3 linked regions of the Macaca mulatta genome follow. The protein of the gene in region 2 purifies or fractionates together with the protein of the main gene of each other region. This does not show direct contact. Links are inferred from orthologs where the notes say so. Each region holds a gene or a part of one and is shown on either strand. Other genes may lie near its edges. The genes, in order: RHOA, ATP1A1 and HADHB.

What was found.
Region 1: the proteins of ATP1A1 (region 2) and RHOA purify together in Homo sapiens (affinity purification with mass spectrometry; 3 studies listed by BioGRID and IntAct, with this or other methods). This does not show direct contact. The link is inferred for Macaca mulatta from reciprocal best matches to the Homo sapiens genes ATP1A1 and RHOA.
Region 3: the proteins of ATP1A1 (region 2) and HADHB fractionate together in Homo sapiens (co-fractionation; 3 studies listed by BioGRID, with this or other methods). This does not show direct contact. The link is inferred for Macaca mulatta from reciprocal best matches to the Homo sapiens genes ATP1A1 and HADHB.

What each region holds. Positions count from the first base shown.
Region 1 is NC_133407.1:112,801,211-112,803,670, forward strand, and holds the end of RHOA (transforming protein RhoA), read right to left. Parts: intron 2,046-2,460; exon of another isoform or gene 1,836-2,045; coding exon 1,662-1,835; 3' UTR 590-1,661; downstream 1-589. UniProt on the Homo sapiens protein: Small GTPase which cycles between an active GTP-bound and an inactive GDP-bound state.
Region 2 is NC_133406.1:123,882,273-123,885,928, forward strand, and holds part of ATP1A1 (sodium/potassium-transporting ATPase subunit alpha-1), read right to left. Parts: intron 3,055-3,656; coding exon 2,904-3,054; intron 2,321-2,903; coding exon 2,152-2,320; intron 2,011-2,151; coding exon 1,856-2,010; intron 1,529-1,855; coding exon 1,405-1,528; intron 88-1,404; coding exon 1-87. UniProt on the Homo sapiens protein: This is the catalytic component of the active enzyme, which catalyzes the hydrolysis of ATP coupled with the exchange of sodium and potassium ions across the plasma membrane.
Region 3 is NC_133418.1:98,714,225-98,717,880, forward strand, and holds part of HADHB (trifunctional enzyme subunit beta, mitochondrial), read right to left. Parts: intron 3,505-3,656; coding exon 3,356-3,504; intron 2,776-3,355; coding exon 2,673-2,775; intron 2,228-2,672; coding exon 2,089-2,227; coding exon of another isoform or gene 2,063-2,088; intron 1-2,062. UniProt on the Homo sapiens protein: Mitochondrial trifunctional enzyme catalyzes the last three of the four reactions of the mitochondrial beta-oxidation pathway.

The sequences.
Region 1 (2,460 bases), on a different chromosome or scaffold from region 2:
GCAGCGGTCCAGGTCACCCTTCCGAGGGCTGGGGCCCTCGAGGGCTCCGTTTTCTTTCTCAAAGGCTCCTCAATTAGGATGTGGGGTTCGGCATAGAAGGCTGGTGGGCGGCGGCAGCAGCTGCCGGTGCGCAAACAGCCCTCCTCTCCTGTGCCATGTTACCGGCAGTGCAGGGGACAGCCAGAGGGATATGGGCTTCCGGTCTCCCTCCTCCCTGTCTCCAAAGCGGCACCGCCCTTGCGCGGGTTTTCTAACAGGGCAGAGTCCTGGAAGCTCTGCCCCAGCTTCCTGAAGTGGAGCCCAAGAGCTCGTCAGGGCCAAGGAAACGCGGCCTGAGTCCTCCCTCTCTGGCCTCCTCAGTAGGCTGCATTCACCCTCCCCCCAAATCTGAACTAGAATGCGGTACAGGGTAATCATTTCCATGTTGTTGGGAGGGACCAGATTAGCTGCTGGGTAGGTGGGAGGTGGGGCACAACCTAGTCTTTTGCACCCTGAACAAACCTCTCCAGGGTGAGCTAGGCCAGGAAGTCCTTGCATCCTCCTGCCCCCAGCCCTGGAGAGAGCAACACAAACAACAGGATACACGAAGTTTAGAAAACTGCCTTTATTCTATTAGTAGTTGGAAAAATTAACTGGTACAGAAAAAAAGTTTAGTCAGCTGGAGAGAAGAGAGACTGAGTGCCACCTATGAGAACTGGTGGCTCCTCTGGGAGGGAACCTGGATACAGTGAGGAGAAGAGCACTGTGAATTAGAGCCAGATGCTGAAGTCCAGGTGAGACAGGTTATGCCACCTTCCAAAGTGTCTAATTGCCTCAGGCGTGAAACCAATTCCTATTTACTTAGCCCAGCTCCAGATAGGGGTACTGAGATACATGGGGCCGAAAAGGGGTAATATGGCCATCTTTTATCAGAAAAAGTGACAAAACGGGAATTTAAAAAATGAATTTTCCATCTGACTTTATTTCCAAATACACTTTCTTTTTTAAAAAACCAATACACTTTCTTTGGGGATGACAAATATCAGTATTAGGAAATCCAATTATACAAAAAATACTACATCTAGTCTGGGGTAGATATATTTATTTTTGGTAACATACATTAAGTGGCACTAATTACACAGTAACTATAAGGTAACTAACATGAAACCACAGAACTGTAACTCTGCCACAGCTGCATGAACTTGGGCTTTTCTGGTTGAGCCCATTTTCAAAAAACTGCCCACCCCAGAGCTATGCCAACAAAATCTGTTAATGAGTAAAGCCCTGAAGTGGTGACTCACCAGAGTACCTTGCAGCTGACAGATAATAGGCAGGACATGTTAGTTATAAAGTAGTTACAGCCTAATTCACAAAAGTTACCAACTGTTTCTCTTTCTAGAAAGAAGCAAGAAGTTAAGAAATTCCTTGAATTAGCGCCTGGTGTGTCAGGTGGGAGTGCAGAGGAGGGCTGTTAGAGCAGTGTCAAAAGGACCCTGGTGGGCCAGACGGGTTGGACATCATTAATAATCATAGTTGGCTTCTAAATACTGGTAGCAAGATGACTTCTGATTTGTAATCTTAGGTAAATTATAGATAAATGAAAAAGGCCAGTAATCATACACTAAGATTAATAAACAGCACTTCAAAATTAACCGCATAAGGGCTGTGCTTGCAGCAAGGTTTCACAAGACAAGGCACCCAGATTTTTTCTTCCCACGTCTAGCTTGCAGAGCAGCTCTCGTAGCCATTTCAAAAACCTCTCTCACTCCATCTTTGGTCTTTGCTGAACACTCCATGTACCCAAAAGCACCAATCCTGTTTGCCATATCTCTGCCTTCTTCAGGTTTCACCGGCTCCTAGCAAAAAGAAAAAACAGTCCTTTTAGCTAATAGTGTGGCATACATATAGTAAGTAAAGAGTATTCAAATTCAGCTTAAAGACTTTTTTTTTCTTGTTTTGCAACAGTTTTACTCTTGTCAGTCGCCCAGGCTGGGCTGCAATGGTATGATCTCAGCTCACTGCAACCTCCATCTCCTGGGTTCAAGCGATTCTCCTGCCTCAGCCTCCTGAGTGGCTGGGACTACAGGTGCCCACCACCACACCCAGCTAATTTTTTAGTAGAGATGGGGGTTTCACCAGTTTGGCCAGACTGGTCTCGAACTCCTGACCACGTGATCTGCCCACCCCGGCCTCCCAAAGAGCTGGAATTACAGGCATGAGCCACTGTGCCCAGTCTTAAAAAAAGACTTTTTTTTTTTTTTTGAGACAAAGTCTGGCTCTGTCGCCCAGGCTGGAGTACAGTGGCGCAATCTCGGCTCACTGCAACCTCTGCCTCCCGGGTTCACGCCATTCTCCTGCCTCAGCCTCCTGAGTAGCTGGGACTACAGGCGCCCGCCACCACACCCAGCTAATTTTTTGTATTTTTAGTAGAAACGGGGTTTCACCGTGTTCGCCAGGATGGTCTCGACCTCCTGACCTTGT
Region 2 (3,656 bases):
GGAGGCCCAACAGGTGAAGTGGGAGGAAGCCGTTCTCAGCCAGAATCACAAAGTAAGTAAAGAAGCCGCCCAGGGCCTGGATCATACCTAAGTTGGAAAAACATCCCAATTACTAGAACCTCACATGCAACGGTACCTGTATAGCCTTTAGCTGATTACTGCAGCGGGCCTGGGAGAGCACATATGGAGGAGTGTTTCCCACTGGTTGATAAAAGCACAGGGAAGAACTGCCTGGTCACTCACAGGCTATGAGGGATGGGATGGAGGACCCCAGAGGTACACTCCAATCTCAGGGCCCTCTGCTTTTTGAGTCACTTTTTGGAGCTGACACAGAGACACATGTGCCTTGCTCTCAAAATGCCCACCTCTGTTACTTGACCGGCTGCTTCTAAGGGCATGACCCTTAGGGGAAATCCACTTCCCTACTTTTTAATCTCTGACAAATGATAACTTCTTTTCCATCTTTCAAAATTCCCACATGCTGCCATTTTTCTAGCCACTGTGGCACCTTCTGACTCTCCTTTACACCTTCAGGACCCTCTTCCCCTGGCATCCAATTTAACCACACTGCTCCAAGTTCCTCAGGGCAAGGTTTCATCCTATACCACCAGAGACCTAGTCTTCCTTCCTCTCAAAAGTAGGCCTCCTTGGAGAAGGTCAGGATGGGCCACCAGCCAATCACTTTGTTGCCAAAAACTGTCTAATGAATCTTTGCCATAATTTCCACAATGTTCTAATCTGTTCTACTTTATCCAAGTGTTCACAGTTATGTGACCCATTAATCCAGGAGAGTAAGACATTCATGGTGGCTTCACCAGGTTCTCTTGAAAGAACCCTAGGCAGAGGATTTAAAAACAAATGGCATGCTGATTGCCCACCACCTAGACCACCTGTTAGCTAGTCATGCTCCATTGTGGGGGCGGAAGTCCAGCATAAGGTGGATGGAGGATCACCCTTTGGTGGTGACCTACTAGCCAAACCCTCAAACACATATACTTTCTCCAATGCCTAACTCTCCATCTAAGTGAGTGACAGATAAGTGTGTATCTCCAGGGAAAGCAGCCTGTGTGTCAGCACACACAATTCCTCAGAACCATGCCTCATGTTCCACAAGGCTCAGTGAGGAAGGACATCCTCTTTTCTCAGGCAGAGTTGAGACCAGTTCCAAGGTGCTCACTAGAGAAAACCAGTTTCCACAAAAGGTAACTGGGCAAACAGCAACAGATGTATTCTCACATGGAAGACAGTTTACAGAAACTCCACAGGCTCACCCTGTTAGGGCTCATCCTAGACCTGAAAGTCACCCTGGATTTGCAGTCTCTGAAATAAATCACAACCTGAAGAGGACGCCATCACCTCAGATGCCTTAGATGTGCCAGCTTCCCACTCCAGGCTGCAGCTTACCAATCTGCCCATAGGCCATGCTGATCAGCCTCTCATTCACAAGTTTGTCTGTTTTGGGATTTCTGGGCTGTCTCTTCATGATGTCACTCTCAGCCTGCTCATAAGCCAGGGAGATGGCAGGAACCTGGGAAGGGGTGGGGACAAGGAATTTAATTACTAAAAATAAGGAAGCTAATATGGTGAACCTTTTGTTATAAAATTCTTGCCCTCCCATTTAAAAATCTTTTAGGTGAAGTACACAAAAATAAAGATTCCCATCTGATGTTAACTGTTGCCTTGAAGAGCGGTAATACTGATTCTGTGATGTGGGGATTGGGACACACACTGGATATTGGTCCTGAGAATTTCTTTTCCCAACACCAGCCTCATGGATGCCGGGAGCACAGTGCCAGTGAATGAAGACACAGTTCACACCTCACTACTATTGATCTGTGGCTGTTGCGACACTCACCATGTCAGTACCCAAGTCAATGCAGAGGATGGTGACAGTCCCCAGTGGTAGTGGAATGTTTGCAATAATAAATATCAGGAAGGGGGTGATCTCGGGAATGTTACTGGTTAAGGTATAAGCAATGGATTTCTTCAAGTTATCAAAGATCAGACGACCTATGAAGAAGCAAGATTTTTTACTGTTAGCTTATGAGAGAAGCACATTGGAAACTGAACATATCCAAGAAATATACAGAAATGGATGCTAATGGGCAGTATCTGAATAAGATCTTGGTGTACACCTTAAACAGCTCTCACCTTCCTCTACTCCAGTCACAATTGAGGCAAAGTTGTCATCCAAAAGTATCATGTCAGCAGCTTGCTTGGACACATCTGAGCCAGCAATCCCCATAGCAACCCCAATGTCTGCTTTCTTCAAAGCTGGAGAGTCATTCACACCATCACCAGTCACAGCCACAATAGCACCCTACCCCAGAAAAGGGAAAATGGGTTAATACCAATCACTGTTTCTAGTGATGGAAATAGTGCGACGCATGCCCCCTCTGAGCACTCATTACAGACACTACTCCTTTCCTACTGAGACTATTTATGAAGCCTGAGAACCATCATAGGGAAGTATTCACACAGGCCCTACACCAAATAACAGAACTGACAAGTGACAACAAACATAGCCCCCGGCATTAACAAGGGCTACTCAAAGTAATGACTCTGGTGGGTGGCACTCCAGAAAATCCCATTCCTGTATGCATGCCCAGTAGTCTCCTGACCACTCACATGTCTACTGCAAACACTAGGACCCCATATCAGATGACTCCACGGAGGGGTCAAGCTCTGGGACACAGTGGGACACCTGGACTTTAAAGTGCTTCTGTCACTGCTAAACCATTAACAAGTCACCCTCTCTATGCCTGGGAGCTTCCTTCTGGCCTGTTTTATACAGAGTCTAATACAGCGAGGTTTGCATCCATCAACGTTGCTGTGTTTCCACTGGAACTCCAATCCCTAAAGCCAACAGTGCCCAAAGCAGCCCGATCCTTGTGCTGGCTGACCTGTCTCTGGCAGCCTTCCACAATGATGAGCTTCTGCTGAGGGGAGGTCCTGGCAAACACTATCTCAGTGTGGTACTTCAAAATGTCATCCAGCTGCTCGGAGGTCATGTCCTTTAGATCACTGCCATGCACTACGCAGGCCTTGGCATCCCTAGAATTAGGACAAAAGAAAAAAAAAGTCACTCATCACATCACCAGCACGTGTCCATCACCTCAAGAAGGGATATTCTTATGCAGATCACTCTGTAAACAAAACAAAGAAGGAATTTTCCCCAGCATGTAAAAGCTATTAAGTGTTCAGTACTTTACAGGTTACAGAGTATTTTCATATATTTTATCTCATTTGAGGCTCATGACAATCTTTGGGGCAGGCCTGTCTGTATTCTTTCCCTACCTTTATAAGACATGCTGAAATATAACCAAGTTTTAGCTGGGTGTGGTGGCTCATGCCTGTAATCCCAGCACTTTGGGAGGCTGAGGCGAGCGAATCACTTGAGGTCAGTAGTTCGAGACCAGCTTGGCCAACATGGTGAAACCCCATCTCTACTAAAAATTTAAAAATTAGCTGGGTGTGTTGGTGGAGGCCTGTAATACCAGCTACTTGGGAGGCTGAGGCAGGAGAATCACTTGAACTCAGCAGGCGGAGGTTGCAGTGAGCCAAGATCATGACACTGCACTCCAGCTGGGGCGACAGACTGAGACTCCATCAAAGAAAAAAAGAAATGTAAGTTTTAGACAGTGGCAGCGCTGATA
Region 3 (3,656 bases), on a different chromosome or scaffold from region 2:
AGTTTCTCAGATGCATCTTATCTTCTCTCTTCACTATACTATAAACTTCTAGAAGGTGCTAGGTATCATTCTTTGTTCATCCATAAAAGCATCCAGTATTGTCTCATTTATACTCTACATGCTAGATAAAGAATTATGGAACACATACTCAAATCTGCAGACATTACCCTATGTGGATTACGCACTAAGCTCGTGAGTAATGTGTACAAGTTATCTCCCTGGTAGAAGTCTGGCATGGAGAGATAGAGGGATAGCTGAAGTCTTAATGGACCATGGTTTTCTGTAGATGAAGTTACACAGATTAAAAAACATTTCTGATCATAAAGTCCAAAATGTTCCAACTGATAAATAACTGACCCCTTGGTTTCTGCAAAGTCTCTGATGAAAATTCATGAAAATGGGCTTTTAAATGTAAGATTTATTTTATTTATTTTTGAGACAGAGTCCCTCTCTATCACCCAGGCTGGAGTGCAGTGGCGCTATCTCGGCTCATTGCAACCTACACCTCCGGGGTTCAAGTGATTCCCCTGCCTCAGCCTCCCGAGTAGCTGGAATTATAGGCGCATACCACCATGCTAGGCTAATTTTTGTAATTTTAGTAGAGGCAAGGTTTCACCACGTTGGCCAGGCTGTTCTTGAACTCCTGACCTCAAGTGATCCACCCGCCTCAACCTCCCAAACTGTTGGGATTACAGGTGTGAGCCACTGCGCCCGGCCTGTTTATGCTTTTACATATTTATTCATTTTGATCAGGAACAGGAAGTTTCTGTAATCTAGAGGAAGAGAAAATCTGTTCACATTGTAATTAAAAAAAAAAAAAAAAAAAAAAACAGGGCAGGCGCAGTGACTCATGCCTGTAATCCCAGCATTTTGGGAGGCTGAAGCAGGCGGATCACCTGAGATCAGGAGTTCGAGACCAGTCTGGCCAATACGGTGAAACCCCATCTCTACTAAAAATACAAAAAAATTACCTGGGCTTGGTGGTGAGCACCTGTAATCCCAGATACTCAGGAGGCTGAGACAGGAGAATTGCTTGAACCTGGGAGGCAGAGGTTGCAGTGAGCCGAGATGGGGCTACTGCACTCCAGCCTGGGGGACAGAGCAAGACTCTGTCTCAAAAAACAAACAAACAAAAAACAAACTACGATCTTCCTTTTGGATTTTATTCCTAGAGTGAGATGCTACAGCAGTCAGGAAGTTGGGTCTGTAATGCAAGCGAAGTAGAAAGGAAAAAAATCTGTCAACAATATACTTCCCCAGCTGAACAGGAGTAAGTTATCCAGAAGTAAATTAACTCCCCAGTTAAGGTATAATTCAGTTCTCTAGAAAGACAGTTTCTCTCTTGGAGAGATTTCATAAAGTCTTAACGGTGACTAGATAAATAAAAGTTTATTATTAAAGAAGAAAATATATCAAGATGTTAATAATGATAATGTCTGATGGGGAGATTATAGATGACTCTAACTTTTTCCATATACTTTTCATATATTCCACAATTTTCATAATCAGCATATATTTATAAGTAAAAAATAAACATTATATTCGGGAAAAATAGCTTGGGTTTAAATAGCAGTTTCCTTCCAAAGAATTACCAGAATTATGGCAGGGCATGGTGGCTCATGCCTATAATCACAGCACTTTGGGAGGTCAAGGTGGGTGGATCACTTGAAGTCTGGAATTCGAGACCAGCCTGGCTAACATGGCGAAACCTTGTCTCTACTAAAAATACAAAAATTAACTGCACACGGTGGTGCACGCCTGTAATCTAAACTACTCGGGAGGCTGAGGAACGAGAATCACCTGAATCCAGGAAGTGGCGGTTGCAGTGAGCTAAGATATGACCACTGCATTCTAACCTGGGCAACAGAGCAAGACTCTGTCTCAAAAAAAAAAACCCAAAAAACAAAAAGTATTATCAGAATTAAAGCTGTTATCCCTCCCCACTCCCCACCCCCGTGTCATCAAAAATATTGCTTTAAGAAGGTTTCAAACTAAATCATACATTCTAGTCATTCCAAGAAAATGACTCTCTGGAAGGTCCTATGACACCACTGTAACGTACCTGCCCTCCAGCTGCGCAGGCAGCCACTAAGCCATACTGGCCTCCTTCTTTCCGTAATCTGTTGGCAGCTGCCATGACCAACCTGCAGCCAGTGGCTCCAAATGGGTGTCCCAGAGACAGAGATCCACCCCAGTTATTAAACTTCTCCAAAGGAGGCAATCCAACCTGGCTCCCACAAAGACACAAATGTAAAGATAAGTTTACTTAAGATCAGAATCAAGCCAGGCTCTTAGTACTATGAAGTAAGAGGGATAAAGGAAAATACCGAACGTCAGACATATTACAAATAATTTTACTGCAAAAGAAAGTAAGTCTAGGTCAATATTAAAAGTCAGGAGTCCATTTATTTTTCATCTAATGCCAGAATGCAAGGAACAAAAGATAACACAGAATTTTAATTTTGCTAATTTCTGTTTTTAAACTAAGAAATAAATATATTTAATGAAACAAGAATTTCTATCTTTACACTAAGAAATAAATATCTTTAATGAAAGACAAAATTCTTCAAAAGAAAGAGAAGCTTTTCCTTCATATTCTTAAGAACAGGTAACTAAGATCCAATTATTAACGCGTTTGAAAATTCAAGCATTTTTTAAAATCAGAAACTCACCTTGGTTTTTCTACCCATGTAGTTTTCTGCAAACCAATCAGAATCCATGGCTTTAAAATTTGCCAAAATCTGACCCTGGAGGAGAAAATAATTGAATAAGAACCTTGTTATTCATGTTCCTCTACGCTTTCTTATGGGCACGGTTTGTGAAAGTTTAACAACTTGTAGGTATGCTTTAAAGTTGAGCAAATTGGACGGGCGCAGTGGCTCACATCTGTAATCCCAGCACTTTGAGAGGCTGAGGTGGGTGGATCATCTGAGGTCAGGAGTTCAAGACCAGCCTGACCAATATGGTGAAACCCCATCTCTATTAAAAATATTTAAAAAATGAGTCAGGCATGGTAGCAGGCACCTGCAATCCCAGCTACTCGAGAGGCTGAGACAAGAAAATTGCTTGAACCCAGAAGGCGGAGGTTGCAGTGAGCTGAGATCACGCCACTGCACTCCAGAGGGGGCAAGAGAGCAAGACTCTGTCTCAAAAAAAAAAAAGTAAAGTTGAACAAATCTTTGTATCAGTTTTCAATGAGAATTTCCTAAAGAAACAATTTGGTATGTTCTCCAACACTGTATGGCCATTCCTTCCCTCCCCTCAGGCACCTCCCAGCAGTGTGAGTCAGTACTTAAAATATATAGGTCCACTCCTGCTCTACTCACATCATAAACCATGCCTTGCTCTCTCCCACAAATATGGACGACATTTTTTATGACTATAGTCCCTTCATATGTGTCTTTCAAATGACTTACCGAGAAAGCTTCATGAAATTCAAAAGCATCAATATCATTCATGGTTAATCCTGCCTTTTCTAGAACTTTTGGAGTAGCATATGTTGGCCTGAAAAGAAAAAATAAGTAATATCTTAAAACTTTAATTTTTAAACTAAGAGCTTCTTCGTATTCCCCAAACTGAGTTTAACATAGGTACTCTGTCTTTTCACTCATTCTTTGGTTTTTCTGTACTGATTAATTAAATGTTAAAGATAAAAT